Oryctolagus cuniculus: one gene and its partners. The protein of the gene in region 6 interacts with the protein of the main gene of each other region in a pairwise test. Links are inferred from orthologs where the notes say so. Each region holds a gene or a part of one and is shown on either strand. Other genes may lie near its edges.

What was found.
Region 1: the proteins of FHL3 (region 6) and TTLL10 interact in binary tests that used the Homo sapiens proteins (3 or more experiments, as listed by UniProt). The two-hybrid records come from large-scale screens. The link is inferred for Oryctolagus cuniculus from reciprocal best matches to the Homo sapiens genes FHL3 and TTLL10.
Region 2: the proteins of FHL3 (region 6) and ZNF512B interact in binary tests that used the Homo sapiens proteins (3 or more experiments, as listed by UniProt). The two-hybrid records come from large-scale screens. The link is inferred for Oryctolagus cuniculus from reciprocal best matches to the Homo sapiens genes FHL3 and ZNF512B.
Region 3: the proteins of FHL3 (region 6) and SAXO1 interact in binary tests that used the Homo sapiens proteins (3 or more experiments, as listed by UniProt). The two-hybrid records come from large-scale screens. The link is inferred for Oryctolagus cuniculus from reciprocal best matches to the Homo sapiens genes FHL3 and SAXO1.
Region 4: the proteins of FHL3 (region 6) and MRPL27 interact in binary tests that used the Homo sapiens proteins (3 or more experiments, as listed by UniProt). The two-hybrid records come from large-scale screens. The link is inferred for Oryctolagus cuniculus from reciprocal best matches to the Homo sapiens genes FHL3 and MRPL27.
Region 5: the proteins of FHL3 (region 6) and PAK5 interact in a two-hybrid assay, tested with the Homo sapiens proteins (2 studies listed by BioGRID and IntAct). The two-hybrid records come from large-scale screens. The link is inferred for Oryctolagus cuniculus from reciprocal best matches to the Homo sapiens genes FHL3 and PAK5.
Region 7: the proteins of FHL3 (region 6) and GCM2 interact in binary tests that used the Homo sapiens proteins (3 or more experiments, as listed by UniProt). The link is inferred for Oryctolagus cuniculus from reciprocal best matches to the Homo sapiens genes FHL3 and GCM2.

What each region holds. Positions count from the first base shown.
Region 1 is NC_091438.1:164,277,950-164,281,924, reverse strand, and holds the start of TTLL10 (inactive polyglycylase TTLL10), read left to right. Parts: upstream 1-1,175; 5' UTR 1,176-1,339; coding exon 1,340-1,482; intron 1,483-2,919; exon of another isoform or gene 2,920-2,994; coding exon of another isoform or gene 2,995-3,005; intron 3,006-3,132; coding exon 3,133-3,557; intron 3,558-3,630; exon of another isoform or gene 3,631-3,825; intron 3,826-3,909; coding exon 3,910-3,975. UniProt on the Homo sapiens protein: Inactive polyglycylase.
Region 2 is NC_091442.1:208,714-212,768, reverse strand, and holds the start of ZNF512B (zinc finger protein 512B), read right to left. Parts: upstream 2,801-4,055; 5' UTR 2,605-2,800; intron 1,612-2,604; 5' UTR 1,610-1,611; coding exon 1,486-1,609; intron 1,307-1,485; coding exon 1,164-1,306; intron 831-1,163; coding exon 654-830; intron 571-653; coding exon 164-570; intron 64-163; coding exon 1-63. UniProt on the Homo sapiens protein: Involved in transcriptional regulation by repressing gene expression. Associates with the nucleosome remodeling and histone deacetylase (NuRD) complex, which promotes transcriptional repression by histone deacetylation and nucleosome remodeling.
Region 3 is NC_091432.1:181,871,670-181,875,169, reverse strand, and holds part of SAXO1 (stabilizer of axonemal microtubules 1), read left to right. Parts: intron 1-518; coding exon 519-721; intron 722-3,500. UniProt on the Homo sapiens protein: May play a role in the regulation of cilium length. Stabilizes microtubules at low temperature.
Region 4 is NC_091448.1:26,292,418-26,296,536, forward strand, and holds the start of MRPL27 (large ribosomal subunit protein bL27m), read right to left. Parts: upstream 2,801-4,119; 5' UTR 2,720-2,800; coding exon 2,680-2,719; exon of another isoform or gene 2,397-2,679; coding exon of another isoform or gene 2,393-2,396; intron 1-2,392.
Region 5 is NC_091442.1:34,493,238-34,496,737, reverse strand, and holds part of PAK5 (serine/threonine-protein kinase PAK 5), read left to right. Parts: intron 1-338; coding exon 339-830; exon of another isoform or gene 831-1,061; intron 1,062-3,500.
Region 6 is NC_091438.1:134,803,313-134,807,539, reverse strand, and holds the start of FHL3 (four and a half LIM domains protein 3), read right to left. Parts: upstream 2,801-4,227; 5' UTR 2,019-2,800; coding exon 1,574-2,018; intron 1,462-1,573; exon of another isoform or gene 1,121-1,461; intron 1-1,120. UniProt on the Homo sapiens protein: Recruited by SOX15 to FOXK1 promoters where it acts as a transcriptional coactivator of FOXK1.
Region 7 is NC_091436.1:159,776,830-159,780,095, reverse strand, and holds the end of GCM2 (chorion-specific transcription factor GCMb), read right to left. Parts: intron 2,993-3,266; coding exon 2,867-2,992; intron 1,422-2,866; coding exon 501-1,421; downstream 1-500. UniProt on the Homo sapiens protein: Transcription factor that binds specific sequences on gene promoters and activate their transcription. Through the regulation of gene transcription, may play a role in parathyroid gland development.

The DNA of each region.
Region 1 (3,975 bases), about 29 Mb from region 6:
TGGACCCCTGTGGACCCCGGCCAGCAGGTGAGACTCCACGTGGGGAGGAGTGGGGGGTACCCTCGGGGCGAGGATGGGTTCCAGGGGAGGTTCATTTCCTGGGGCTGCCAGGAAAAGCTGCTACAGAGAAATCACACACGGGGCCAGTGTTCTGGCGCAGGCGCTTATAAGACCCCACCTGCGACGCTGCCATCCCATGTGGGTGCCGGTTCGAGTCCCAGCTGCTCCACTTCCTGTCCAGCTCCCTGCTAACATGCCTGGGAAAGCAGCTGAGGATGGCCCAAGTGCTTGGCCCCACACTGTGTGGGAGACCCAGAAGGAGCTCCAGGCTCTGTTTCCACTTGGCCAAGCCCCGGCAGGCACAGCCATCTGAGTTGTGAACCAGCCAATGGAAGTGCTCTCTCTCTCATTTATTTGAAAGAGAATCTCTTGGCCGGCGCCGTGGCTCACTAGGCTAATCCTCCGCCTGCGGCGCTAGCACACCGGGTTCTCGTCCCGGTTGGGGCGCTGGATTCTGTCCCGGTTGCCCCTCTTCCAGGCATGTGGCCCAGGAGTGCAGTGGAGGATGGCCCAGGTCCTTGGGCCTTGCACCCCATGGGAGACCAGGAGAAGCACCTGGCTCCTGGCTTCGGATCGGCGCAGCGCACCTGCTGCAACGTGCCGGCCATGGTGGCCACTTCGGGGGTGAACCAATGGAAAAAGGAAGACCTTTCTCTCTGTCTCTCTCTCTCACTGTCTAACTCTGCCTGTCAGAAAAAATAATAAATAAATAAATAAATAAAAGCACTCTTGGTGTGAGCGTTTGGCCTAGTGGTTAGGACCCGATGGAGCTCCAGGCTCCTGGCTTCAGACATTTGAAGACTGAACCAGTGGACGGAGGACCTCTCGGGGTCACCCTGGAGGGTCATGAGGACAACAGAAGAACCAGGTGAGGGTCAGAGGTCATGACCCCAGCAGTGGGGGTGCACCCAAGGGTTAGAGACCCCTGCCCAGTCCACCTAAAACCCGCAGGGCTCTGCTGGATCACGGTTGCCAGGTAACCATTGCTGGGAGACAGTTGCCAGGTCGCCACTGTTGTGTCCAGCAGAGGGCTCTCACGACCTCGCCAGGCAGGTAAGAGGGACAGGCCGGCCGCCAGTCTGCACCTGCGCTCCTGCGCCCCCCTCGGCCACCAGACCTGGGCCCCTGCCTGAAGCAGAAGGCCGGCGGGGGAGGGGAGTGGACAGGGAGGGGGTGGGGCGGCTGGGCTGGGCACTCTCAGGACCACCTGCCTCCTGTCTCCCTGAAGTCCGCGGGCCCCGTGTCTCTCGCAGTCCCTGGCCAGAAGGCGCCGGCTTCCATGCACGGCAGCTCCTCAGAGCCCGCGGCAGTGTGCGGGCAGAGGCTGATCCGTGCGCGGTCTCTGGTCACTTGTTCCCAGGTCTGGGAATACTTCGCGTGTCCCTTCCCAGGGGGCGGCCTCCTGCCCGCCCGTCTCACCAGGTAAAAACCTAGAGTTTGCCCCGCCGGCTGGGCAGCAGGTCCACGGCGCCCCCCGCAGGGCCAGGCCTCGCCCCCGCGAACCACACCGGGTGGTTTCAGGCTGGCGTGGCCTCCGGGGCAGCGGCGCCTGGGGCTCCTGACCCTTGGGCCCCTGCGTCCTCCGCCTGGTGGCGCTGCTCACAGTGCGTACAGGAAGTAGCCATGCAGTCCACTCAGGAACCTGGCGTGCGAGCGACGGAAGAGCCGAGGCTGCCTGGGGCTCCTCCGGCCGCGGCCAGCGCGAACCTAGGCCTCCAGAGCCCTCACCCCTGGACCCTCCTCCTCCCGCCTGCCTATTGCAGGCGCCTGCCGAAGCCCCAGATCTGCACCTGCAGGCGGGGCTCAGCCCCAGCACGGAGGCCCTCCCGAGGCCCCGCTCCCGCTCCGCCCCTCCCGCGACGTCGCCTCTCGAAGCCCCGCCCACCCCTCCCGCGGCCTCCCCCCACCTCGGCTGCCCCCACCAGGTGCACAATTCCAGGGTTCTGACCAGGACCCTCCTGCGGCCTCCCTCCGGCCACACCTCGCGACACCCCCACAGTGCTCGCAGGCCCCTGGGCGGGGCTGGAACTGGGCCCTTCCTGTCCCGGGGGGCCCCTTTGCACAACCTCCTGGACAGGACCCTGCTGGTTACTCCTCACTGTTCCCGTGTTCACAGTGCCCAGCTGGAGCCTGGGGGAGCAGCCCTGCCCGCACCCTCCCAGCTCACCCCTCCATCAGCATCCATGACGCCCACCTCCGCCCATCTTCCTCCACACCTCTCTGTGTGTGTCCCTGCATATCAGGGCAGGTCCACTTGTGTCCGTGCCTGTGTCTCTGTGTGCTTGTGTCTGAGTGTCTGTCCAAGCGTGTCTACGCATACGTGTCTGTACACGTCTGTGAGTGCCCGTGTGTCCACATGTGCCTGTGTCCCTGTGTGCCCCCGCATGTGTCCAGCTGTGTCCGTGTCATTCTGCGGCTCCCACTTGGAACTCCTCCCTAAGAAGCCTGGGCTCTGGGCACTGCTCAGCGGCGTCTTGGGGGTCCCAGCGCCCCAGAAGGACTCTTCGGAGCAGGGTGCTGGGGGGGTCTAACTGATCTGCTGCCCCATCGTCAGGCCCTGCAGGCCAGGTCCAGCGTCCACACCCGGCCCTCCTGTGTGGGGAGCTCCTAGCTTCTGCCCGCGCCCCCACCCTGCCCTGGGTGCCTGCCAGCCTCGGTTCTGGCTGCTCCAGGCCTGGCCCCATCCTCCCAGTGCCTGGAGCCGGGCAGCTCCTTCGCTGCCACTCTGGGGCAGAGGCCACGGGCACCTGCATCACCGCCATTGGGCAGGCATCCGCTGGCTGCCCAGGGATTCACTCGGGAGCAGCACCCAGGCCCCTCCCAGCCGCCCCAGCATCCCCACTGCTTGCTTTCTTTCAGACCTGCAGAAAGTCCTCTCCCCCAGCAGGCCACCCATGGACTCGCAGGCCAGGAAGTGGCCACAGGTTCCCTGACATGCTGCAAAGGTGGCACCTGGGGACCAGATCCAGGGGTCGGGCCGTGGGGCCAGGCAGCCACAGGGACGGCAGTAGCAGGCGGGGTGCCGCTCAGGATGCCCCGGTCCTCCAACCCCTGACCACGGCCTCCTTGCAGCCGACAGCCAGACCGCGCTCCTCAAGGCCAGATGGACGGGCCGGGCAAGGCAGGGCTCGCCCCGCAGAGATCCGACTCGGAGGGCACCGCGGCAGCACGGGCCGCCCGGCCCCACAGCCACCGTGGGGTTGGGAGCCGGCCCCGGGGGGAGGCCCCCACCCAGCCCCCTGGGAGACGCCTTTCCCCTGGCAGGGGGGGCCCCACGTTGCGCCCTGTCCAGAGGCTGGTCCCGCGGGCTGCCCAGAGATCCCGCAGGAGAGTGGGGGTCCCGTCTTCCCAGCGGGGCTCTCGGCCCGGTGCCCCCAAGCCAGCCGGCCGCAGCCACACCCGGTTCATCCACTGCCGGAGACCGTCCACGCGGGCCCAGCTCAGCGCCAAGAGGAAGAGGCGGTCCAGGCTGTGCCGGTGCCGGGCCAGGGCACCAGGTGACCGCTAGGCAGCCTCATGGCCAAGGGCCTCCCAGTCAGTCCCGGGAGGGCCCCCACCCCACCCCATGCCACCCCACAGCCCCAGCCTGACAGCGGCCTTTGGGTCACTCATGACATCATCATGGACATTGTGACCCCGGCCCTCCAGGCAGGCCCCGGCGCTGTGTGTGCCCCCACTCCGCCTCACTCCCCAGCCCTGCCTGCTCCTGTCACTATCACCCTCAGGCTCTGGTCAGTTGCAAGCCGCAATGAGGCAGGGGCTGGGGTGAGAGCCCGGTGCAGCTGGTCGTGGGCTGGGCTTGGCCCGACAGACGGGTGCCCCCCACCCACCAGATCCGCCCCTGCACAGGCTGGGCCCCTGGGAGACGGATGGGCAGCGGCCGAGACAAGGGGCTCCTGCCCACGCAGGGCCAAG
Region 2 (4,055 bases), on a different chromosome or scaffold from region 6:
TGCCCGTTCTCAGGCTTCGCCTGCTTGGGTGGGATGGGGCAGGCGTCCAGGCCATCGGCAGCCCTGCGGGGCACAGCGAGCTGAGGGCCAGGAGGACCTGCAGGGTGGGCCTCGTCCCCCCAGGCTGCGGCCGAGGAGCGCCCCACCCACGGAGAGCCCGTACCTTCTCTTACCGCTGCTCCGCCCACTGGCGCGAGGCGCTTGGTTCTCAGACTGGGTCAGCAGCGCCATCTTGCAGGGCGGTGTGTGTCTGCTGACGGTCACTGGCTTGCTGACCACGACGGGCCTGCTGACCGGCAGGGGCCTGCTGACCGTGATGGGCTTGCCGACTGGCACAGGCCTGGCGACTGGCACAGGTTTGCCAACAGGCACGGGCCTGCTGACCGTGACGGGCCTGCTGACCCCAATGGGCCGGCTGATGGTAACCGGACGGCTGACCGGCCCAGGCTTGGGGGCAGGCAGGGGTCGGTCCATGTGGTTCCAAATCCGGTGCTTCTCCAGCTGGGTCTTGGACGTGAACGCGGCTTCACAGAAGGGGCAAGGGAACGCCAGCCTGTCTGAGACGGCGCCCTGGGCAGGGAGGGCAGGTGTGGGACGGGGCCCAGGGCCCACACACATCCCAGGCCACCTCTTCCCAACCCAGGGGCCCTTACCCCCTGGCACCGCTGGTAATGGTACTTGAGCCCGTAGATGCTGGGGAACTCCAGCCAGCACCCCGAGTTTGGGCACTTCACCCTGGAGTGTGCCTTGAATTCATCTTTCCACTGGTTCATCAGGGAGAGCTGGGTGTGGGGAGAGGTCAGGCTGCCGACCCTCCACGGCCCAGGCCTCTGCCAACCCAAGACTTGGGCTCAGAGCCCTGCCCGGGCCTACAGGACACGAGGGGCCCTGCCCAGGCCTACAGGACACGGGGGGCCAGGCCTACAGGACACGGGGGCCCTGCCTACAGGACACAGGGGGCCTATAGGACTTGGGGGCACACCAACCACAGGGAGAATTCAGCACCCCAAGCAGTGGCCATGACCAGGCCCACTCTGAGGGCTACTGGGACCTCATGACGCGTGTGTGTGTGTGTGTGTGTGTGCGCGAGGGGCTGGCCACACCCTGGGGCAGGGGCCTCCATGGGCAGGGCACACGCCCAGTCTGGGCCTCAGGGAGCTCACAGGGATGTCTCGGAGGGCCTGGTTCTCAGCTTTCGGCCGCCCCTTTTTCTTCCCTTCCGTCCTGTCGCTGGCTGGACTTCCGGGGTCAAAGCAGAGTGGGGCCTGGCCAGGCACCGTCTGTCCACCGCGAGCTACCGGCATCCCTGCAGCACAGGGCACACGCAGGCTAGGGCACCGCGCAGCCGTGTCTGGCGCCTCGGGGGCCTCGCACCCACAGCAGCAAGGCACTGGGGCGAAGGCTGTGGCCAGCCCTGGACAAGGACCCACGTGAACACAGCTCCCACCCGAGGGCAGGGGCCCTTCTGGTGGCCGTGACCCTCACCCAGCTTCGGCGCGTCGTGCAGCACGGGCAGCCGGACCTCCTTCCTGCCGCCTTCCTTCCCCGGCCCACTCCTGCCGGGGCCCTGGAGCCGGCGGCTGCTTCCGACACAGAAGGGATCGGTCATCTCTGCAAGGGACAGCAGGCAGACGTGCCATGAGGCCCGCTGCGCCCCAGGCCTGGCCAAGGAAGGAAGCGTGTGGCAGGGGGACCAGGAGGCACCCTCTGTGCAGCAGGACCCAGTCCTGTCCCAAGACCCTCGCCAGCTCTGACAGCCTCCCCCTCTCCCGTACCTGCCACAGGCGTCCAGGGTCACCCTCGTCCCCAGCTGGCCAGGGTGCGCAAAAGGGAGGAGGAGGCTGGGGGCCGACCATGCCTTCGGCTGCCCTGCCCAGCACCCACGGGGCCCCCAGACCCAGGAAACACCCACCCGCCCCGCCAGCAGCCCAGGCACAGGCGGAAGGCAACCAAGGAAGCTGAGAGGGTCCCTGGACACTCACACCCCCTCTGGCAGCACCCAGGGCAACATGGTCTCCAGCCAGACCTGGGCTACCACCAGCTGACCTCCCCTCGCGGCCACTAGCAAGAGGCTTTCCTGTCCCGGCCCTGCCATTCCTCCACGGGGTCACCCTGGAGCAGGCGCAGGGCTGGGTGAAGAGCGGACCCCTCCCCTAACAGCGTCTACCTAAGTCGGGCGGGACAGGAGGGGAGGGGGCTGCTAAGGTCAGCGAAGGCCGAGGCCCCAAGGCAGGATAGCCGCTGCTCAGGGCCCAGGGGTGCCGGCGGCCTGGGCCTGGGCGTTGGGAGGGTCCTCACGCCAGGAAAGTTCTCCCAAGTCCCCACTTGGCACGCGGAAGGCAGACAGCGCCGGCCCGGGTCCTCGCGTCCCTGACGACCCTCCGCGGACAGCGGCGCCGATGCGGCCGTGCCCCCCAGTGCCCCCCAAGCCCGGGGCCGGCTTGGCGCGGGAGGCAGAGACCCGCCCTCCGCCCGGGCCTCGGCGCCAGGACGGCAAGGGGCGGCCACGGCCGGGCGCCGGCCCGGCGGGGCCGCGGGGACCCCGCGGGGACCCTGCGGGGAGGGCGGCTGCGCTCGCGCGCCGGGCCCGGCCTCGCCACCCACCTGTCACCTGCGCGGGCGCGGGCCTCGGCCTGGCCCGGAAGGGCCGCTGGCGGCGCGGGGGGGGCGAAGGCAGTGAACCAAAATGGCGACTTTTTCCGAAGAGGAGGAGGCGGGAAGACGGCGCCGGCGCGGGGCGCGGGGCGCGCGCGGGGTCCGGGCGCGGCGGCAGCGGCGGCGGGGACGGCGCGGGGCGCGGGGCGGGGGTGGCGGCCGCGCCGGGCGAGGCGGGGGCGGCCGGCGCTGACCTGCGGCGCCCAGCAGGGCCGGGGCCGGGCCGGGCCGGGCCGGGGGCGCGGGGCGCGGGGTCCGGGCGGCGCAGGCTGCACGCCGCGCTGCGCACATGCGCGCTCCGCCCCTCCCACCTTTGACAGTTTTACGGCGGGGGGGAGGGGGCGAACTCTCGCGGTATTCCTGCCACGCGCGGCGCCGGGGAGGGGGCGGCAGCCGGGGTCCGGGGTCCGGGGTCCGGGGTCCGGGGTCTCGCGTCTCGCGTCTCGCGCCAGGGCTCGGAGCTCCGTCGCCTCCGCCGTGGGGACTCCCAGGCGGGGACCAGTTGTGCTGCCTGTGGAACGTGGGGGCGAACTGAGGCCCGCGAGGGGCTTTGGGCGCTGCCCCGAGTCCTGCACGCACGGACGGAGCCAGGGCAGGTGCAGCAGGAAGGCCACGGCGCTCCCGCCCCCCCACTCGGGCCCACTGGCCAGCAGGCTGCAGACCAGCTGGCCCCTGCCAGGGCACCAGGGCTTGGCTGGGGTCCCTGGCCACTGGACCTGCCTCTTTTAGCCCCGGGATGGGTGTTCCTCGGTGGCTGGTGTCAGGTCTGGGGCGAGGGGCCCGGCCCCTCAGGCTTGGGCATAGATGAGGCAGAGCGTGGTGGGCAGCGGCCTGCAGGTGCCCCAAGGCCCTGCCCCCTCCCTGACGCAGCCATCCTGCAGGGCTGGGAGAGAGGAACCCTGGGGTGGACCCTGTGTGGGCCACAGCGTCCACAGGCTTCTGCTGTGTGTGCTGCTGCATCTGCTGAGTTTCAGACGCCCCAGGAAAGCTCATGGACCTCTGCACCCCGTTGGACACTGCTGCGCGGGAGGTAGAGACAGGTGCATAGCCCTCTCTCAGGCCCTCTGCTTCAGCACCCCCTGCCCAGCCTGGGGGCAGAACTCAGGTTCACCAGGACCTCGGGGGAGGGGCTGGCCTGGGTCCCCTGGGGCGAGACTTCATTGCCAGTGCCTGCCCAGGGCTGGCGAATGAACGGCCCGGTGCCCTCGTGTGCCTGGGTGGCCATACCGTGAGGCTGGGGTGTTGTGTCCCGACCCTGCCCTGTGTGGGAGGCTGGAGCCCCGACCCTACAGGGGAGGCCTTCTTTGGAGGAGGGTTGCACACAGAGTCCCTGCCTGGGGAGATGAGAGGGAGCCAGGGCCAACAGGCAGGCACCAGAAACCCGAAGGGGCTTGGAGGCC
Region 3 (3,500 bases), on a different chromosome or scaffold from region 6:
TAGGGTGGTGGGAGATGAGGGTGGGCAGTAAGGTAGAGGCCAGGTCCAGGAGAGTTTACAAATCATTCTAGGAGATCGAGTGTTATCTGGGATATTTGTAAGCTGGGGAACAAAATGATCCCGTTTTCATTTAGACAGTTTGGCCATACTATGGTGGTTGAAGTAGAAATGGTGGGAGAGAAAGCAGGGAGCTTGCACAGTAGGCTGTCACATGATCTAGGGCCTAAACTAAAGGGGACAGAACAACTCATGAGGTGGAGGAGGCCACACCTGGTGAATGAGTGACAGACTCTGGACTGTGAGAGAGGGTTTCCAGGATGACATCCAAGAGTCTGATTTGGTGAGAAGGGAATAGTGGTACCATTCTAGAAAGTGGGAGGTAGACGAGGAAAAGCAGTGAGTGGGGGCAGAGAAGATGTTGACTTCTCAGCAAATGTTTTAGGATTGGGTTGGGATGGAAAACACAAGCCTCATTCCAAGCCAAGGACTCCAACAATATGTATTTGTTTTCCTTCCAGAAGAGACTTTGGGCCTCACAAAGTGGTACCAGTGAAGGTCCACCAGCCCGAACAGTTCATCCCCAGTGAAGAGAATATGGATTTGCTCACAACATACAAACAAGATTACAACCCCTACCCTGTCTGTCGAGTGGACCCCATTAAACCTCGGGATAATAAATACCCGTGTGGTGACAAGATGGAGTGTCTGCCTACTTATAAAGGTGGGAGAACGCTTGAGAAGTGGGCTGGGGAAAGGATAGGCTGAATTGTAGACAGATCAGGAAGTATGTTTTGTATGTTCTCTTGGTGCAGGGGTCAGCAAACTCCTTCATGAAAGCCAAATCCAGCCAACAGATTGCTTTTATATGGGTCGAGAGCTAAGCATGGTTTTAAAATTTTCAAATGTTTGCCAAAAAATATATATTACTTTAAGACATGTGAAAATTACATGGAATTCAAAGTTCAGTGTTTACAAGTACATTTTATTGGAATACAGTGCATGTTATCGCTGGCAAAACTGAGTAGTTTGACAAAGACCCTATGGTCTGTAAGGCTATAGGTACTTAGTATCTAGCCTTTTACAGAAAATATTTTCTGACCCCTGCCTTAGTTCACTGTTTGAATCATATGCATTGGGGAAGTACTTCAAGTTTTAGGTGAGCTAGATTCTACTGATTCAATGACTGATTCACGCATTCACTTAGAACAATATTGAAATGTAATATACAGGAATGTATATAAATCATAGTGGTACAGGCCAATGAATTTTGGCTGAATACACCCTTATAAATAGCACCCAGATCAAGAAAATAGCATCACTACTCCCTTTCAGCCACCTTTCTCAACTGGAATATAACCATAATGCTGATTTTTAATACTTCAAAATAATTTTGCCAGTTTTGTAACATATTTTAAGTGAATTGACATAGTTTTACTTTTGACATCATTATACTTATTTATGTGTTATAATGTGTTATTTTCATACATGTGTATGTTATATTTTGTTCAAATCATGGCCCACATTTACCTCCTCAAATATTTGTTATTGCTTTGTCATGAAACATTCAAAATCTGTTTTTGAAAATTTAAAAAAATTGCATAATTATTTTTCGTTGATTATCTATTACATACCAGGCATGTGCCTAGGAACTGTGAACTGTCCTAGGCCCTCTAGTCCAGTGGGAGAGAAGGGCAGTGGAGTCCTATGGTTGGGCTACCAGTATAACAGCAGATACCCCTGAGAGCCTGGCCCCAAGATGGAGATCAGAGAATGGAGGCCAAGCTTGTCATCTGTAATGCCTCTGTTTATGATGCACACTGTTGCTCTAGGAAGACAAGTTTCAACAGTTAATTTATGTGAAACATCGGTGTACCTCTGAATGATCTTGGTGGACCTCTATCATAAGGGTTATGTTTAGTTAAGCATTTACTAATGAGGTAGGCTGGCAGCAGAGGTGGCGAAGGCTGGAGACATGTGGGAAATTTTGCTTGGAGGAGTTCTGAGCCTACCATTCTGGTGGGCCCTGCTCATATTGGAGATTCAGGGCTGTTACTAGTATAGACCTCTATGGCAATCTCCACTCTGGCCTTTTACTTTCTTACCCTAGTGTGCTCCTCTCCTAGTCATCCATAGCCACCTTCTGAAAGACAACCCTCTGGACATTCTACCCTGAAATTATCCCACCTCTGAAGACTTTGTGTACCCCAACATCCGGTCCCTCTGACTTAGTCTCTGATCTGCTTCCATCACAACAGTTCTTGGCCTTGTTGTATCCCCTAATCTGTTGGTGCCCAACCTTCTCTCCTGTGCCTGTTCTTTCCATGTAGCCTATTCCATGTTAGATCATTGCAGCTCATCTGTCACTAATGCCCTAAACTCCCTCTACCTTCCATACTTTTGTTGTTTCCCGCTGGCCAAGTCCTAGTCTTGCCTTCTTGAAGTGTACTCCTTGACATACACTTGAGCATATCTACAATCTTATCAACTAATCTTCTGTGCTTGAAACTCCTCAAATAAGCATTGTAGTATTTAGGATCAAATCCCAATCCTTACTAACTTCTAAAGCCTTGTAGGTTCTGGATTCTCCATCCCGAGCTCCTCTGCTCCAGCCTTAGGGCCTCCATTCAGTTCCCTTCCTCCATATCTTTTCTGCTTCAGGATTTTTAGCGTTGGGATTCCTTCTGCATAGATCTCTCCTGCTTTCTGTGTGTCACTTGTCCTTTAGCTAGCAGCCAAAACATCACATCGGCAGAGGCCTTCCAGGATCTCCCCTCAAGCCAGTTCAGGTGCTTAGAGCACCGTTAGAGCACCTTATCGATCCTGGAAGGACTATCCCCTGTCATCATCATTGAATAATTTGTTTTGCTTAACATTTATCTCACTGGTCAGACTATCAGCCTCAAGGGGTCAAGGATCTTCCATTCCCCAGCCCCAAGCCAATTAAATTGTCTATACTTGTGGAAACCACACACCCTTTAACCTCTATGAAATGTTGGCTTCCAAAATTGTGCCCTAATGGAAAGCCAAGACACTCTGGCGAAAAAAAAAAAAAAAAAAAAAAAAAAAAAAAAAAAAAAGAGAGAGAGAGAGAGACCTAAATGAAAGATCTCTGCAAGTGAGATCCCAGTGGAAAGAACGGGGCCATCAAAGAAGGAGGTACCTTTCTCTGAAGGGAGGAGAGAACTTCCACTTTGACTATGACCCTGTCGGAAAAAGATTGAAGTCGGCGAACCCAAAAGGCTTCCATAGCCTTGGCAACTCATGACTAGAGCCTAAGGAGATTACTGATGCCATAAACAAGAGTGTCAAATTGTTAAGTCAACAACAGGAGTCACTGTGTACTTACTGCTCATGTGGGATCTGTCCTTAATGTGTTGTCCAATGTGAAGTAATGCTATAACTAGTACTGAAACAGTATTTTACACTTTGTGTTTCTGTATGGGTGCAAACTGATGAAATCTTTACTTAATAAATACTAAATCAATCTTCTGTATATAAAG
Region 4 (4,119 bases), on a different chromosome or scaffold from region 6:
TGAGGAGAACACAAATACTCCCTGAGTGTGCGGGAAGGCCTTGTGCTTTTCTCAAGGCAGGGGTCAACTCATTCCTTCCTGTGCAGGCCATACGCACTGCATGAGGGGGGTGGGGGCAGTGAAATGGAAACGCGAGCAAACATCATGTGCTCTGGGCCCTGACCCGTTCAGTCCTGCTGAGGAGAGAAACACCACAGCGCGGGAGAGGCCAGCGAGGGGACAGGGCGCTGCTGCCCGCCTCGCAGCCTCACTGCCCCAGGTCACACCGGAGAGGGGCTCCGCCTCAGCCGCACCACCACTGCCTTTCCTATCTGCTCATCTCACAGATGGATTGGATATTTAAGGCGCACTGGGTCCGGGGGTGGCTCCCAGCCGTTTCAAAAGCAACACCCTTTCTTCCCAAAGTCCATCAAGTGGTAGCAGTTGTGGTGCAGTGGGTAAAGCTGCACTTAGGACGCCTGCATCCCTTATTAGAACCGCGGCACTGAGTCCGGCTCCTCCACTTCCCATCCAGCATCCCGCCAGTGCGTCTGGAAAGCAGACCAAGGCCCAAGCACTTGAATTTCTGCCACCCACGTAGGAGACCTGGGTGGAAATCCTGGCTCCTGGTTCCAGCATGGCCCATCACCAGCTGTTGCGGGCACTTGGGGAGTGAACCAGAGGATGGAAGCTCTCTCTGTCTCTCCTCTGCCTTTCAAACAAACAAACAAATCTAAAAAAAAAAGTCCATTAGAGATCCAACCAAGACCAACACAATGTCCTTGTTATCTCACCTCTCCAGACTTGTTCCAAAGTGTTCAGTGGCATTTATTTTAAAAAAGGAAAGTGAACTAAAGTTCATTTTAACTCAGATGGAAGTCCTTGCTGTATGACTGGCCTTGGCTGGCAGGTCTTGCCCCTGGGTCTGCTGAGACAGTCATGGTTTAAGGACCAGGATAGCATCTTAGAGAGGCCTTGTAGATCTGTGGTGCATGTAAATTCAGAGTTCCCAAAGCCTATGTTTCTGCAATTTTCATGAGAAGAGATGAGCTGGGACAAAGGGCCAGAGACAGCATGCTAAAGGCCTAGCACAGGGGCTGGCGCTGTGGAGAAGCCGCTAAAGCCACCGCCTGAGATGCCAGCATCCCATATGGGTGCCAGTTAGAGTCCTGGCTGTTCCACTTCTGATCCAGCTCCCTGCCTACGTGCTTGGGAAAACAGCAGAAGATGGCCCAAGTGCTTGGGCCCTTGCACCCATGTGGGAGACCAGGAAGAAGTTCCTGGCTACTGGCTTCAGCCTGGCCCAGACCTGGTCATGGCAGCCATTTGGGGAGTGAACCAGCGGGTAGAAGATCTCTTTCTCTCTGTAGCTCTGCCTTTCAAATAAATAAAATAAATCATAAAAAAAAAAAACAAAACTTTAAACATCCATTCATTTACTTAACTTGGGAACTGGCCTTTTGCTTTTTCTATATTATCTCATTCACAAATCTTCGCTCTTAACCCGTACTTCCCATCCTCTTCCTCAACATAAATCACTCCACAATCTACCCAGCTGCTCAGAGACCAAGGAGTCCCTGCAGGCTTCCTCCACATATCCAGTGCACCGGCAGCTCTGGATCTCAAGTCCACTCATTTCCTCCAAGTTCAGGGCCACCACCATCTTGGCTAAACCATCTCTCAACATATGACAGCTTCCCATCTGGTTACCTCATTTCTACCAAAACTCCCTTAGTTACATAAACACAATAGTTTCTCAGAATGTGAAACTGGGGGCCAGTGTTGTGTCCAAGTGGGTAAAGCTGCCATCTGCAATGCCTGCATCCTATATGGGTGCCATCCGGCCGCTCCACTTCTGATCCAGCTCCCTGCTCATGGCCTAGGAAAGCAGTGAAGGATGGTCCAGGTATTTGGGCCCCTGTCACCCAGGCTCCTGGCTTCAGCCTGGCTCAGCCCTGGCCATTGTGGCCATGTGTGGAGTGAACCAGTGGATGGAAGATCTTGCTCTCTGTTAACTCTTTCAAAATAAGTAAAAATAAATCCTTAACAAATATGTAAAGCTGGATCAAGTCATTCTCTGGTTCCTACAGGTCTCGGCCTTTTAGGTCTTTAGGTGTTATCAGCTGCTAGGGCCTTCCTGACCAATGTAAAACACACACACACACACACAAACACGTTCTTAGCACCGATCACAATTTACAACTGTCATATATATGTATGCTTATTTACCGGCTAGATAAATAAAAAATGAAAACTAGAAAGGGCCATCGGGAGGGTGGAGACCATGTCTTCACGTTTTCCGCTGGTACTTCGAACACCCACCGGTGTCCGGCACCAAATTAGATCTCAACATGTTGAATGAACAGATGAACGTTCTGAAGTCCAACGTGTCAATATTACTGCTCCTTCTTACACATGAAGGGATCCACGCAAGCCCAGCGAGGCAATGCGGCGTGCCCACGTCACCAACAGCCAGAGAAGCGAGAAATCCACACGCAGGGGAGGGCCGAATGCTCCCCAGATACTCCCCAAGCCCGCGGCTCCGCCCAAGATACGGCACGTGACCGGCCACCGCCGCCACTCCAACCGGGCGTGCCACAGAACTCCCCAATCCCGCACCCAGGGACCTCCGCGGGGGCTGGCTGCCACCTCCCGGGTCCCCTGCCAGATCTCTCCGCAACGACTACATTGTCCCATTACCGGCCGCCCGCGTCCTCAGGGCCAGCGCCGCCGACGCCATGTTTGCCTTACAATCGCTTCCGGTCTCGAAAGGCTGCTTCCGCTACCGGGAGATCTACTTCCGGGTCCGGTGCGGCGGTTGAATGAGTGGCGCGAGGAGGTACAGGTGAGCGTCCGGGGTGTCGGACTTCACCGGCCAAGGCTGTCTTCCAGAGCGCCGCTGCGCGGGAGCTTGGTGGCCAGGGCGTCGGGGTCCTCCGCCCTGACGGCTGACCTGGGAGGCGCGGAGCGTGCCGGGCAGGGGTCTGCTTCTCCGAGTGGCTCATTTTGCAGGAGTCAACCGAGATCCCGCTGCGGGACACGGATGAGACCCCCTCCCTTGTCTTTAAAGTGCCAGACACCGTCCTAAGCGCGGTAATGCGTTAATTCTCACGGCCTTACAAAGGCGGTATTGCTATCCCTGTTGTACCAAGGGAGAAACAGGCCGAGGATTAGCTGGCTCACCCAGGGTCAGTAAGTTTTTGTTCGAGAAAGGAGGCTTGCATATGACCCAGCTAGTCCAGTCCTCAGTTTATATGCAAGAGAATTGAAAATATGCCCACATAAAAACTTGTACCTCGATGTTCATAACCGCGTTATTCATAGTGACCAAAAATAGAAACAAACCAAACGCCCCTTAAGTGATGCATAAGCAAAATGTGGTAGAGCCACACGTTGGAATATTCAGCCATGAAAAGCAATAAAGTACTGGCCCATACTGCGACACAGATGAAACTCCCAAACATAAAAGGGAAAGAGCCACATAGTGTGTGATTCCTCTGGATATGCAGTATCCAGCATGGGCAGACCCATAGAGCCATGGTAAATCTGTGGTTGCCAGGGGCTGGGGGGAGGAGGATGGACGATGATAGCTTAATGACTTCTGAAGTCATAGAAATGTTCTGGCATTAGCAGTGGTAGTTGCACAACACTAAATATATTAAAACTGTTGGGCTGTACACTTAAAAAGATGAATTTTTTTGAAAGATTTATTTATTTGAGAAGTACAGTCACAGAGAGGCAGAAGCAGAGAGAAGTCTTCCATCTGTTGGTTCACTCCCTAAATGGCTGCAAAAGCCGGAGACAGGTTGATCTGAAGCCAGGAGCCTGGAGCTTCTTCTGGGTCTCCCATGCAGGACTTGGGCCATCCTCTGCTGCTTTCCCAGGCCATAGGAGAGAGCTGGATCGGAAGTGGAGCAGCTGGGACTCCAACCAGCACCCACATGGGATGCTGACACTGCAGACAGCAGCTTAAACTGCTAGGCCACAGCACCATTTCAAATGGAGAGGTCTAGAGGGTGGTGATGAGTGTTGTTACTATCCAGTGAAAATTATAATATTATCCCTGCTTTTTAAGATTTATTTATTTATTTGAAAGGCAGAGTTACAGAGAGGCAGAGAGAGAGAGAGAGAGAGAGGTCC
Region 5 (3,500 bases), on a different chromosome or scaffold from region 6:
CATTCCACCCTTGAATATGTGACTTCAGAAGCAAGGGAAGGGGCTTCCTACCCCTGAAATTTCGGCCCAGAATGCTAGCTGAAGACAACATCCTTTAACAGGAGATGGGATCTTTCATTTCAGAATAAGAAAATAAGGCTTAAGCAGAAAATACACCTTGGGTGCACAGCAGTACGAGAAGACAACTGTCCAGATTTACTCAGCACTCAATACCTGGCATCTCCCTCCATCACTTCTGATGGTCTTCATTCTGCCAGCTGTAAGTTGGCTCACTAACCTGAGGGGTGTGCTGCTGTTCAGTTCTAACATGCGAATGGTCTCTGTCCCTGTCTTCCCAGGTGGACTATGATCGAGCACAGATGGTCCTCAGCCCACCACTGTCAGGGTCCGACACCTACCCCAGGGGCCCCGCCAAACTACCTCAAAGTCAAAGCAAAGGGGGCTATTCCTCCAGCAGCCACCAGTACCCATCTGGGTACCAAAAAGCCTCCCTATACCACCACCCTTCCCTGCAGACCAGCTCGCAGTACATCTCCACCGCCTCTTACCTGAGTTCTCTCAGCATCTCATCCAGCACCTACCCTCCTCCCAGCTGGGGCTCCTCCTCAGACCAGCAGCCCTCCAGGGTGTCCCACGAACAGTTTCGGGCTGCCCTGCAGCTGGTGGTCAGCCCAGGGGACCCCAGGGAGTACCTGGACAACTTTATCAAAATTGGGGAAGGGTCGACGGGCATTGTGTGCATCGCCACTGAGAAACACACAGGGAAACAAGTTGCGGTGAAGAAGATGGACCTCCGGAAGCAACAAAGGCGAGAGCTGCTTTTTAACGAGGTGAGTGATGTGTCTGGCTCACCCTTTCTCGCCTATGTAACGTTTATTTCCCATTTTAAAAAATTATACATGTACATTTTAGGACTTTAGAAAACCACTGAAAGCATTAAGATAAAAATTGCATCATCTTCCCTTCTCATCTTTTTCCATGATGTTTGGCTGTTCCCGTTATGGAGTACTTCATGCACATCAGCCACAGCAACCATAGGAGGTGGAAATACTTGATCACTGCTTCAGATAAGAGGAAACCTGTGTTCAGGCAGGTGAATGACTAGCCCAGGGTGGAACAGTAGGTTTATTGCACACCTGGAATTTGAATCCCAGTCTAGCAGATCCCAAAGCCTCATGCTACACTGTCTACAGGGGTATATGTACATTTTACACTGTTATGATATCATGCACGCAGTGTGTAGCTAAGTTTTCCTACCAATTTTTCTAATAAACAGAGGTCAGTTTACCAATGGACTATCGCTGTACAGGAACTTTAACATATTTTATGTTCTTAACTATAAAAAGAATGAGGGTAGGTGTTTGGTCTAGTGGTTAAGATGTTGATTAAGATGCTTATTCCATGTTCTGCATTAGAGTGCCTGGGTTCAGTTCCTAGTCTGCTCCCGATTCCAGCTTCCTGCCCATGCAGGCCCTGAGAGGCAGGTGATAGCTCACGTAGATGGATCCCTGCCACCCATTTGGGAGACCTGAATGGAGTTCCAAGCTCCTGACTGTCACAGGCCCTGCTGTGGCCATTGCAGGCATTTGAGGAGTGAAACAACAGATGGGAGCTCTGTCTGTCTCTCTCTCCCATTCAGTCTCCCTCACTAATAATAATAAAAAAAAAATAGTGAATTCTTCCTGTAGAAAATATGTAAAATGGAAAATATTCCACAAAATACCTAAGCATCCCACAATAGCCTACATTACTTCAGTATTTTCTTTCTATAATTTTTCTATTTACATATTTCTTGTATTTAGCATAAGGATAATTCTATATATGTGGGTTGGTAACTTCCTGATTTCACTTAATATTGATGTCATGTTAATAAAATTAATATAAAATAAGACACTAATATATAAATTATGTATCTATTAATATAAAATACATTGACATATTTTCATAACTATATGTCAAAATATTTAATAACCTAATAATCTTCTATCATGTTCATGTATCAAATTCATTAAAATGATCTCTGACTTATGTTTCCAATTTGTCACTTTAATAATCTTACAATGAGTATTATTACACTTCAGTTCTTGGCCTCATATCTGATCATTTCTTTAGTTTCCTGGAGGTAGAAGGAACAGATCAAATGATATATAAATGTCATTTTTGAGAAATTATTGATGGTGTTGATTTTCAGAAAGCTTGTATTAATTTGGACCCTCACCAACAGTCCTTTTGCACCCTCACTTGTATCCGATTGGATGCTAACATGTTGTCTCTGTTAACTTTATAGACATGGATAAATCTTACTATTTTAATTAGCCTTTTTATTATTAGAGAGGTTCAGTCCCTTTTTATAGTTATAGGTCATTTTTATTTCTTCATTAAACCATATGTCCTTTGCAGTTTTCAATTAGGATGTTAAAATTTGTCTTATTAATGTATAAGAGCTCTTGATCTATTAAGGAATTAACCCTCTTCTGTGTATTTCTTGTATATATTGTTCCCCTGCTTCATTTATCTTTAAAATCACTTGTCATTTAAGAGCTCTAAAACAGATGGGAAAGCATGAGTAACGGTGTCAGAAAACACACACATTTTGGAATATTGTCCCCTTGGTAATTTTGTGAGAGTCTTGGAGAGAGAATTGAGTGTTTGTGGGTGAGAGATCTAAGTCCTAAAGATGTCAAGTCACGATGTCAGCATTAGATAATGTCAGTCTCTCACAAGGGGTGTTCACACCTCCTAACTCCCAAAACAAGCTAGGGCCACCTGACCACTCTGGTTGTGAGATTTCATGTTCTCTCAGAAGTATGTAGGAATTGTTTGGTCCGTAAGTAGGCACTTCACAAATGTACTTGTCTGTAATTTTGGCCCCCTCTTCCATGAAGGATTCCAAGGCAGCCCTGGCGACCTCCACTCATCTCCAGCTCTAAGGACTGCTCATTTCTTAGGCACACCCTGAGTTTCATGGAGTCCCATCCTCCCAATCTACTACTCCTGATTTCTGAAATTTGTTTTCAAACCACAATTCCAGAATAGACAGGGCAATATTATATAAACAACCCTATAATTGGTTATTTTGTAAAAGATTTATTATTTATTTATTATTTATTTATTTATTCAAAAGGCAGAGCAACAGAGAGAGGGGGAAAGAGAGAGAGAGAGGCAGGGGCGGGAGAAAGATAGAACTTCCATCCATTGGTTCACACCCCAAATAGCTGTAACAGTCAGGTCTTGGCCAGGCTAAATGCAAGAGCCAGGAACTCCATCCTGGTCTCTCACATGGTAGGTGGCAGGAACCCAAGGACTTGAGCCATCTTCCACTGCCTTCCCAGACACATTAGCAAGGAGATAGATCAGAAGCAAAGCAATCAAGACTCAAACCAACACTTTAACATGGGGTTTCAGTATCAAAAGCAGTGGCTTAACTCTGTACCACAATGCTGGCCCCTGTAATTGATTATTTAACTCTAATTCTGACAAATTGACTAGAAGCTGCCACA
Region 6 (4,227 bases):
CTCCCGTCCCAGGAGAATCAGCAGAGCAGCCAGAGCTGGAGAGGCTCAGGCTGGGCTGGAGCAGGAAGGAAATCCTGCACGTTGGACACGGCCGAGCTTCCCCGGCTGGGCCCTCTGCCCTCCTTCCCCTCCACCCCGCTGTGTCTCTGGTCACACCAGCCTGGGCAGCCTTGGCTGCAACATCTGCAGCAGCTGTGGCAACACAGATGGCCAGATGTCAGATTTGCCAGCGACAGGGGAGAAAAAAGGAAAAAGCTATGCCTGCGGCGGCTGCGGGTCCCCAGGGACAGAGAGCAGTGTGGCCTCTGCCACCTCCTGCTGGGCACCAGCACAGCCCCAGGAGCTTCCCTTCTTCTGGGTCCCGATTTCGTTCCTCCTGACTCCGGTGGGGGTAGCCTCGCCCCACTTTCTTGGATTTCTCGGGGTTGGGGCAGGCGGGCATGAAGGGTGAGAGACCCAGCGCCCCTGGAGCCACTCTCCCCAGGCAGGGCCCCTCGTAGGTGCGGAGGAAGACCAGGGGGAGCCCTGAGAGCCGCTGCTGCAGACACCCAGCCCCCAGCAAACCTCAGACACTTTCCATTTTCTCAGGAACAAAGCATGTTTGTGGGATGAGGTCATCCACACAGCTGCCTCTGGAACAGGAGTGTGGGGAGCAGGGTGTAGGGAAGTGGGGTTCCCAGCCCCTTCTGTGGCTCGTGATTCCTGTCTCCAGAACCCAGATTAGAGCTTCCCACCCCTGGCCTCCTCCACCAGGAAGTCTGCTCTCTAAGGGCTAAGGTCCCAGGGTGCCAGGGAAGAACCACCAGGACCCCTGGGAAGGGGACAGATGCTCTTTCAGCTGCGGATGAGCCTGGGGAAGTTCAAGAGACACAAAGGAACCCACCACCCCACTCCCCTCCACCAGACCCCAGAGCCTGCCCTGGCTCAAGCTGAAGGAAAAGCCCTCCTGTCCCAGCCAGCCCCAGTGGGAAATTCTCGCCAGCAAGCACTGCTCTGGCCTGGAGCTCTGACTCCAGGCGCCAGCAGATGCCCCAGGGCTGGAGGGCCTGACTCCTCCGATGGGCTGGCTTCCGTGTTCCGGACTTCCCTTCTACACCATGGGAGGACACCGAGTTCGTACCTCAGGCCACGGTGTGAGGCCGACAGGAGCTGGGGTATTCAGAGCACGGACTCCTGGGATCGGAGTTATGCTCCAGGGTGGAGGGCAGCCCTCCTTCAGTCCCCTGCCGGCCACTCAGGCTCGGGTTTCCTCCTGAGGATTGCCTGGGCTGGCAGCCACTGGGCAGCAGGGGGCCCCGCAGGTGGAAAGTGGCCATGTGTCCCTCCAGGAGTGCCTGGGGCCTTTTCCTTCCTTCCTGGCTGGGCCAGCAGTGGCAGCAGTAGCGGCTACCTTCCCAGGCCCTGGCTAGCCCCGGGTCCGCCCCCTGGGAGGCAGTCACCACTCTGAGACGGGGCACCCCAAATAGGGTATGGGAGTGGCTTCTGTTTCCTTCCCAGACTCCCCCAATCCCTGAATCTATCCGGCTGGGCCCTGGGGAGGGAGGGCAGAGGGAAGGACACCAGCAAGACCCACCTGTCTCTGCCTGTCCTTCTCTGGCAAGGCTTGGGGGACCGAAAGGACTTGTAGAGAGCCAGTCCTGTATGCTTCCTGACCGGTGGCGGGGAGAGGGGGCAGGGACTGGGGAGACTGCTTCACCTGCCAGATGGCTCTCAGCCTCTGCTCCCAACAATACACACACCCCTCCACCTGACCCAGACACACACACAGCACCTCCTGGGTTTGCACACTGGCTCCTCACTGGCTGCATGACCTTAGGTGAGTTACTCAAGCTCCCAGGCCTGGTTTTCTCTTCTAATTCACTAAGCTCATGCCCCTTCCTACCTCCCAGGGTGCCGGTCCTCGGACAGCACCTGGCAGATGGGCAGAACTCAGTATGGGCAGCTATTTGACTTTGGCTGAAATCAGACGGCAGTTTCTCAGGAACGTCCGTGACCTGGACATTCGTGCACAAGGCCATGGGGAGGTCAGGTGGCCCCACGGCCCATGGGGCTGGCTGAGGACAGCCGTGGGTCCAGTGGTGGCTGCAGCGCCGCCAGCCTGACTCCAGGGAGCAGAACTCGGCCCCTGGCTGGCGACACCTGCCTGCTGCTCTGCCCCTCACAAAGTGCCCCTAGATCACCCTCCAGCGCAGCTCCTGGAAGGCCGGCAGTGCGGAATCTCGTCCCCATTTTACAGCTGAGCACACCAAGGACAGGGCAGGAGTGTGCCCAAGGTCCATCTGGGATCAGAGTCCACGTCCCGGAGCCCCTCCTCATTCCCTCTCCCTAGAAGTGCCATGGTGGTGCTGGAGGAGGTGGTTCAGCTTTTAAGGGCAGAGCAACAGGAGCTGTACCAGAGCCTGGCTCTTCTCCCCAGCTGCCAGCCCTGCCACTGGAAGACACCCAGCGGCCTTTCCAAATACCCGTGCCAACTGCTCAGCCCTTTTGCCCCCCCCCCCCTTCCCCACTGTGCAGGAGGACCCTGGCCAACCCCCACAGCTGTGAGTCAGGCTCAGAACAGCACCCCCCCCAGGAGTTGACAGGAGACTTAAGGAGAGAAATCAAGGTGCTCCCCCCCCCCCCCAGCCGCTACCAACTCCAACTTCACTGCTCTCTCTCCTCCTCTTCCCATCTGGCCTGGGAAGTTAAAGCAGTGTAGGGGCAAGGGGGTGGGGAGCAGGATCCCGAAGCAGCTCTGGGACCGGCCTGGCCGGGCCAGGAACAGTTCATTCACCCTGAGGTCCCTACGGCTGAAGCTGCCCGCCCAAGATCTGAGTTTAAAAATAAGCTGGGGCTGTCCTGGCAGCCGTGTCAGTGCGTGGGGCTCCTTCTCGTTCTCGATCTCACCGGCCCGGGTCCCCTGCCTTATGGGGGAGGGCTGGGTTCAGTTCCTTTCCCCAGGGCACCCGTCCGGGTGTCTCAGGGTCTCAGCCAGCTCAGGTCCCTGTGTGTGCTGAGCTGGGCTCCACTCCATCCTGGGTTTGGGGGCTGTCTTTGTGCTCCTCTGGGGTCTCTGTGCCTCCGAATGCTGTTCCCCCGCGGGGTCCTCAACCCTTTGGGCTTCCAACTGTGTGCACCCAAGTCTTTGGTGACTCTTAAAGGACCCTCGCCCCTCTCCTGTCCCGTCCGTTAGCAATCTCTGCCTCATGTCTCTGAAGGGCTCTGTAGCCCTCACACAAACGGACTGAGCGAGAGGCGAAGCCGAAGCTCCAGGGCTCCCCGCAAGGCCCTCGTAATTGTTCACGTCCAGTTTCTGTCCTCGCTTCAGCGATCTCCGTAGCCTCCGGTCCTGCGCCCCACTGGGCTTCCCCGGAGCCTCCGTTCCTCCAACCCTCCCGGTCTGTCTCTGTCTCTCTGGCTTTTCTATTTCAAACTTGGTCCCCTCCCCCGTCCAACACTCGCATTGGCCCCCGCCTCTCCAGGCGGCCGGGGGAGCGGTCCGGCCCCGGCGGGCGCTCTCCGGGGCGCAGCATGCCCGGGGCGGGGGCCGGCAGCTGCGGTTCGGAGCCGGGGTCGGCGGGGCGCTCACCTCGCAGCTGGCGGCGGGAGCCGGACGCGCGCGGAGCGGGTGGGGCCGGGAACCAGGAGCCGCGTCCCTCGGCGCCTCCTACCTGCGGGCCGCGCCGAGCCGGGCGGCGCGAGCTGCCGGCTGCACACGGACCGTGTGGGCGAGTGGGCGCGCGGCCCCAGCCCCGGCGAGGAAGTGCGCGCGGGCCCGCCCCGCCCGGACCCCGCCCCCGGCCCCCGGCCCGAAGGGGGGGTCAGACCCCGCCCCCACCTCCCTCTCCGCCTCGAGCCGCCCAGCCCCCTCCCGCGGCCCCCAACCTGGCTGGCCCGACTGCGGGGCAGTGGGGACCTGCCCCGCCCCCTCCCGCAGCGCTCTGTCTTCTCGCTGCCCCCGGCCCACACCCCGCGAGCCGCCAGCGAGCAGCGGGAGCCTGCAGCAGTCTGTCTCGGGTGAGGGGTGCAGAGCCCTGGCAGCCAGGGCCCATTCTCCGGCTCCCCCGCCCCAGCTTACCCCCAGGAGGTGTGAAGGAGGCCTTAATTCCTTTTGGAGGAGGGAGTGTTTTCGACTCTGTTGTCAAGGCTCTTTCAGCGAGGACCAAGGTGTTCTCTGGAAACGTGGGGCGAAGAGAGGTTCTCCATAAGGCCTTGACCTTCAGAGGGCTTTAGCCCACAACTCTGAGC
Region 7 (3,266 bases), on a different chromosome or scaffold from region 6:
TATTTTAACAGGTTCTACATGCTAAATAAAATTTTATGAAATGACTCAGGGGATAAGATTTTGCAAATTTCTTCCTGGAGTTCTTTAGATAGTCTCTAACAGCCAAATAGAGAGGGGTGAAATTCCCTTATAAAGTCGAGTGGAGAAAAGGCTGGCTTCGAACCAGAACTGGGATCCCTGACTAATGCTGCAGCCAGCAAGCTCAGTGCACTTGGGCCAGTGTTCAGCCTTTGTGGGCTCCGGTTGGCTGATTGGCTCATTTTGGAGATTCTCACCTTCCCAAGCTACTTCTGTGCACCCATAGCTGGTCTCAAAATGCTGTGCAAACTTTCCCTGTGCCATCTCAGCATCCCAGCTGGCCATTGCCTCTGCTCATCAGCATCCTGACTGCTAAAGAAATCTCTATTTCTTTATGTATAAGAAGAGTAAGATAGGTGTCATTTCATGTTCTATTGCCTGCCGGTTCACCAGTCAATATTGGGTGCATCCTGGATTGTCTTTCAGAAGTCCTCATTGTCATAGCTCAATAATGGGACCGCCCTATCCGAGTAACTCATTGCAGAGCCCAGCCCAGACAAGCACACGTCCCAAGTGTCTGCTCCGTCTGTTCTCGAGGGAGCCTCCTGCTGAGGGAAGTCCAGTGTGGGTCTGATGGCCCGGCAGTCTCCTGGAAGTGTCAGAGGAGAGTCCGCTCTGTTGGTGCTGGCTGGGGGGTCCAAGGGTTCTGGATGGACGGACATCAGAGCATTTTCAGAAACATAGCTGCAGCTGGAAAGGCTGGAGTGCTCTAGCACATGGTCACTGTAAGCCAGAGCAGGGGGCTGGAAGGCCTGGTAGGACACTTTGGTGGTGGTGGTGATGACGGTCTGCAGGGCTGGAGCACCTGCTGGGGGGGATGTGAGATGCCTGCAGGGAACCTCTGGGTTATAATAAGGCCTAGTGGCCATGGCCTGGAACTCTCCATGGTCAATTCTTTCCCCAAGGTCAGGTCTCCCAAGAGCTGGTCTCCAGCCATGCTGTTTATTGGTAAAGTCATAGCCTCTCTCATGGCTATTGTAGGAATTGACATCATACTGAAGTGTGTTCAGATGAACCCACTCTGTTTCATTAGGGACACTGGTGGAATCTGTATACAAGGTAGGATATAGGTTCGAATTTGTGTAACCAGGGCCTGCCAATTCATACCTACAAGTTGGCCTGGACAAATAGATTCTTGGGGTTGGGTACTTGTGAAAGGGTGGCATTATGTCTCCTTGAAAGGTGGCAAGGTCACAGGTGGCTTTGTAAGCCTCAGAGTTTGGGAAGGAGGGGCAAGTCTGAGCTGAAATAGGGAAGCTGGGGTCAGCAATTGTGTCGAGCAGTTCTGGATTTTCCAGGGGTGGTGTGTTGAAATCTCCACGTCTGTCTTGATTCTCTCCTGCCTAAAAAAATGATACAGACATACAATATATAAATTGTTTGCACATCCCTCCTGTAACAGTAGCCAATCACATAAATAAAACCCAACTTCCCAGTGGTGTGGACAGAACTGCTCAGGTACAGGATTTGGGCCCATGGTCTAGGGATAGATAAGCTTGAGCTGACTCAGGCCTGAGTATCACACAGTGAACACGGAAGGTCCCTGGCAGCCAGGCATTTGGGTTGGAGAAGCAAATGACCCTGTTCTCATCCATATTGTCTGCATAAGAGGGCAGACTCAGGAGCCACACAGTCCTGGGTTCAAGTCCTTATTCTGCCCCTCACTAATTGAGCTAATCCAACCTCTCTGAGCCTTGGACTTCTCATTTCAAGCATGGGACTTAATAACAGCAACCTGATCATAGGGTTTCTGTAACCATCAGATGTATGACACTCTTAGATCAGTACGTGGCACAGAGGAAGTGCTGGAATAAGGTCAGTTTCTATTCTGCTCACACTAACACTTTGCCTGCTTGACAAGCTCCAGTCGAAAGGTCAAACTGGATCAAACTTCCCCAAGAAATTTTATCTGGTCCTGTGTAAGCAACATAAAGCATTCTCCCAAGGATGCACCTGCCATAATCCTCCCTTAATCATCTACAGTCAACTACTGTTCAAAAAAATTAAGTGGAAAATTCCAGAAATAATTTGTGAGCTTTATTAACACATATTATTATAATTATTCTATTAAGCTCTATTATAGATATGAATATATATAGCTATGAATATATATACATACATACATACATACATACAGTACATAGAGGGCTCCGTGTGACCTGAAGTTTGAGGCATCCATTGGTGGTCTTGAAGTGTCTCTCCCATGGTCAAGGAGTCTATGGTATCCCTTTGTCACTAACTGGATCATGTATTTGGATGTCAGCACACACCCTAACTATATTGTTGTCCTTAAGGTGTTTTTTTTTTTTTTTTTTTTAAGGAGGGATTAGAATCGTTCTCCAGAGATGGGCTTTGGCACAGCAGTTAAGTTGCTGTTTAAGATGCCCACGTGTCATACCTGAGTACCTGGGTTTGAGTCCCAGCTAAACTCCCTGATTCCATCTTTCTGCTAATGCTCCCCCTGGTAGATAGCAGGTGATGGCTTAAGTAGTTGGGTTCCTGCCACTCCCATGGGAAATGCCAGTTGAATTCTCAGTTTCTGTTTTTGGCCTGACATAACCCTGGCCATTGCAAGCATTCTGGGTGTCTGCCTTCCAAATAAATAAAACAAGTGAAAATTTAGAGATTCTGTCCCAATGTCGACACTATGTTTTGTCAGAGATAGATAATTTTCACATAAGATCGTAACTTTGTAATTACTGTATGAGATTCATATTTCAATTAATTATCAGTGTATCCTGCTATGGAAATGGACACAGAGCACAGTGCTGGGCCAGCTCCCCAGTACCTCAGGGTCTCGAATTCTCTTCTTCTGGGGCTGGAAGAAAGAAGCCATATGTCTCTTAATGGCACTTCTTCTAGCTTCCGTCTCCGACTTACTCTCTGGTCTTGGGTGGTCGTGGACCCCCTTGGCCTGCGTTAATGAAGAAATGAGTCAGATGTTTGTTCCTCTGAAGCAGGAGTGGGGAAGGCCCGGCTCATGGGCAGTATAAGGCCCACAAAATCATGTGGTCTGGCCCTGACAAGGCAACCGCAGGGGGAGCTGCAATTCAATAAATCTACAGCCAGCTAATTTTTAAGTTGACTTTTGTATGACCATGAATGATGTTATAAAAAAGGCTCCCCTACCCCTTGAAGCTAGCCATGTGGGCCTGAGTTAATCATGCCTTCCCAAGATCCCAAGTTGT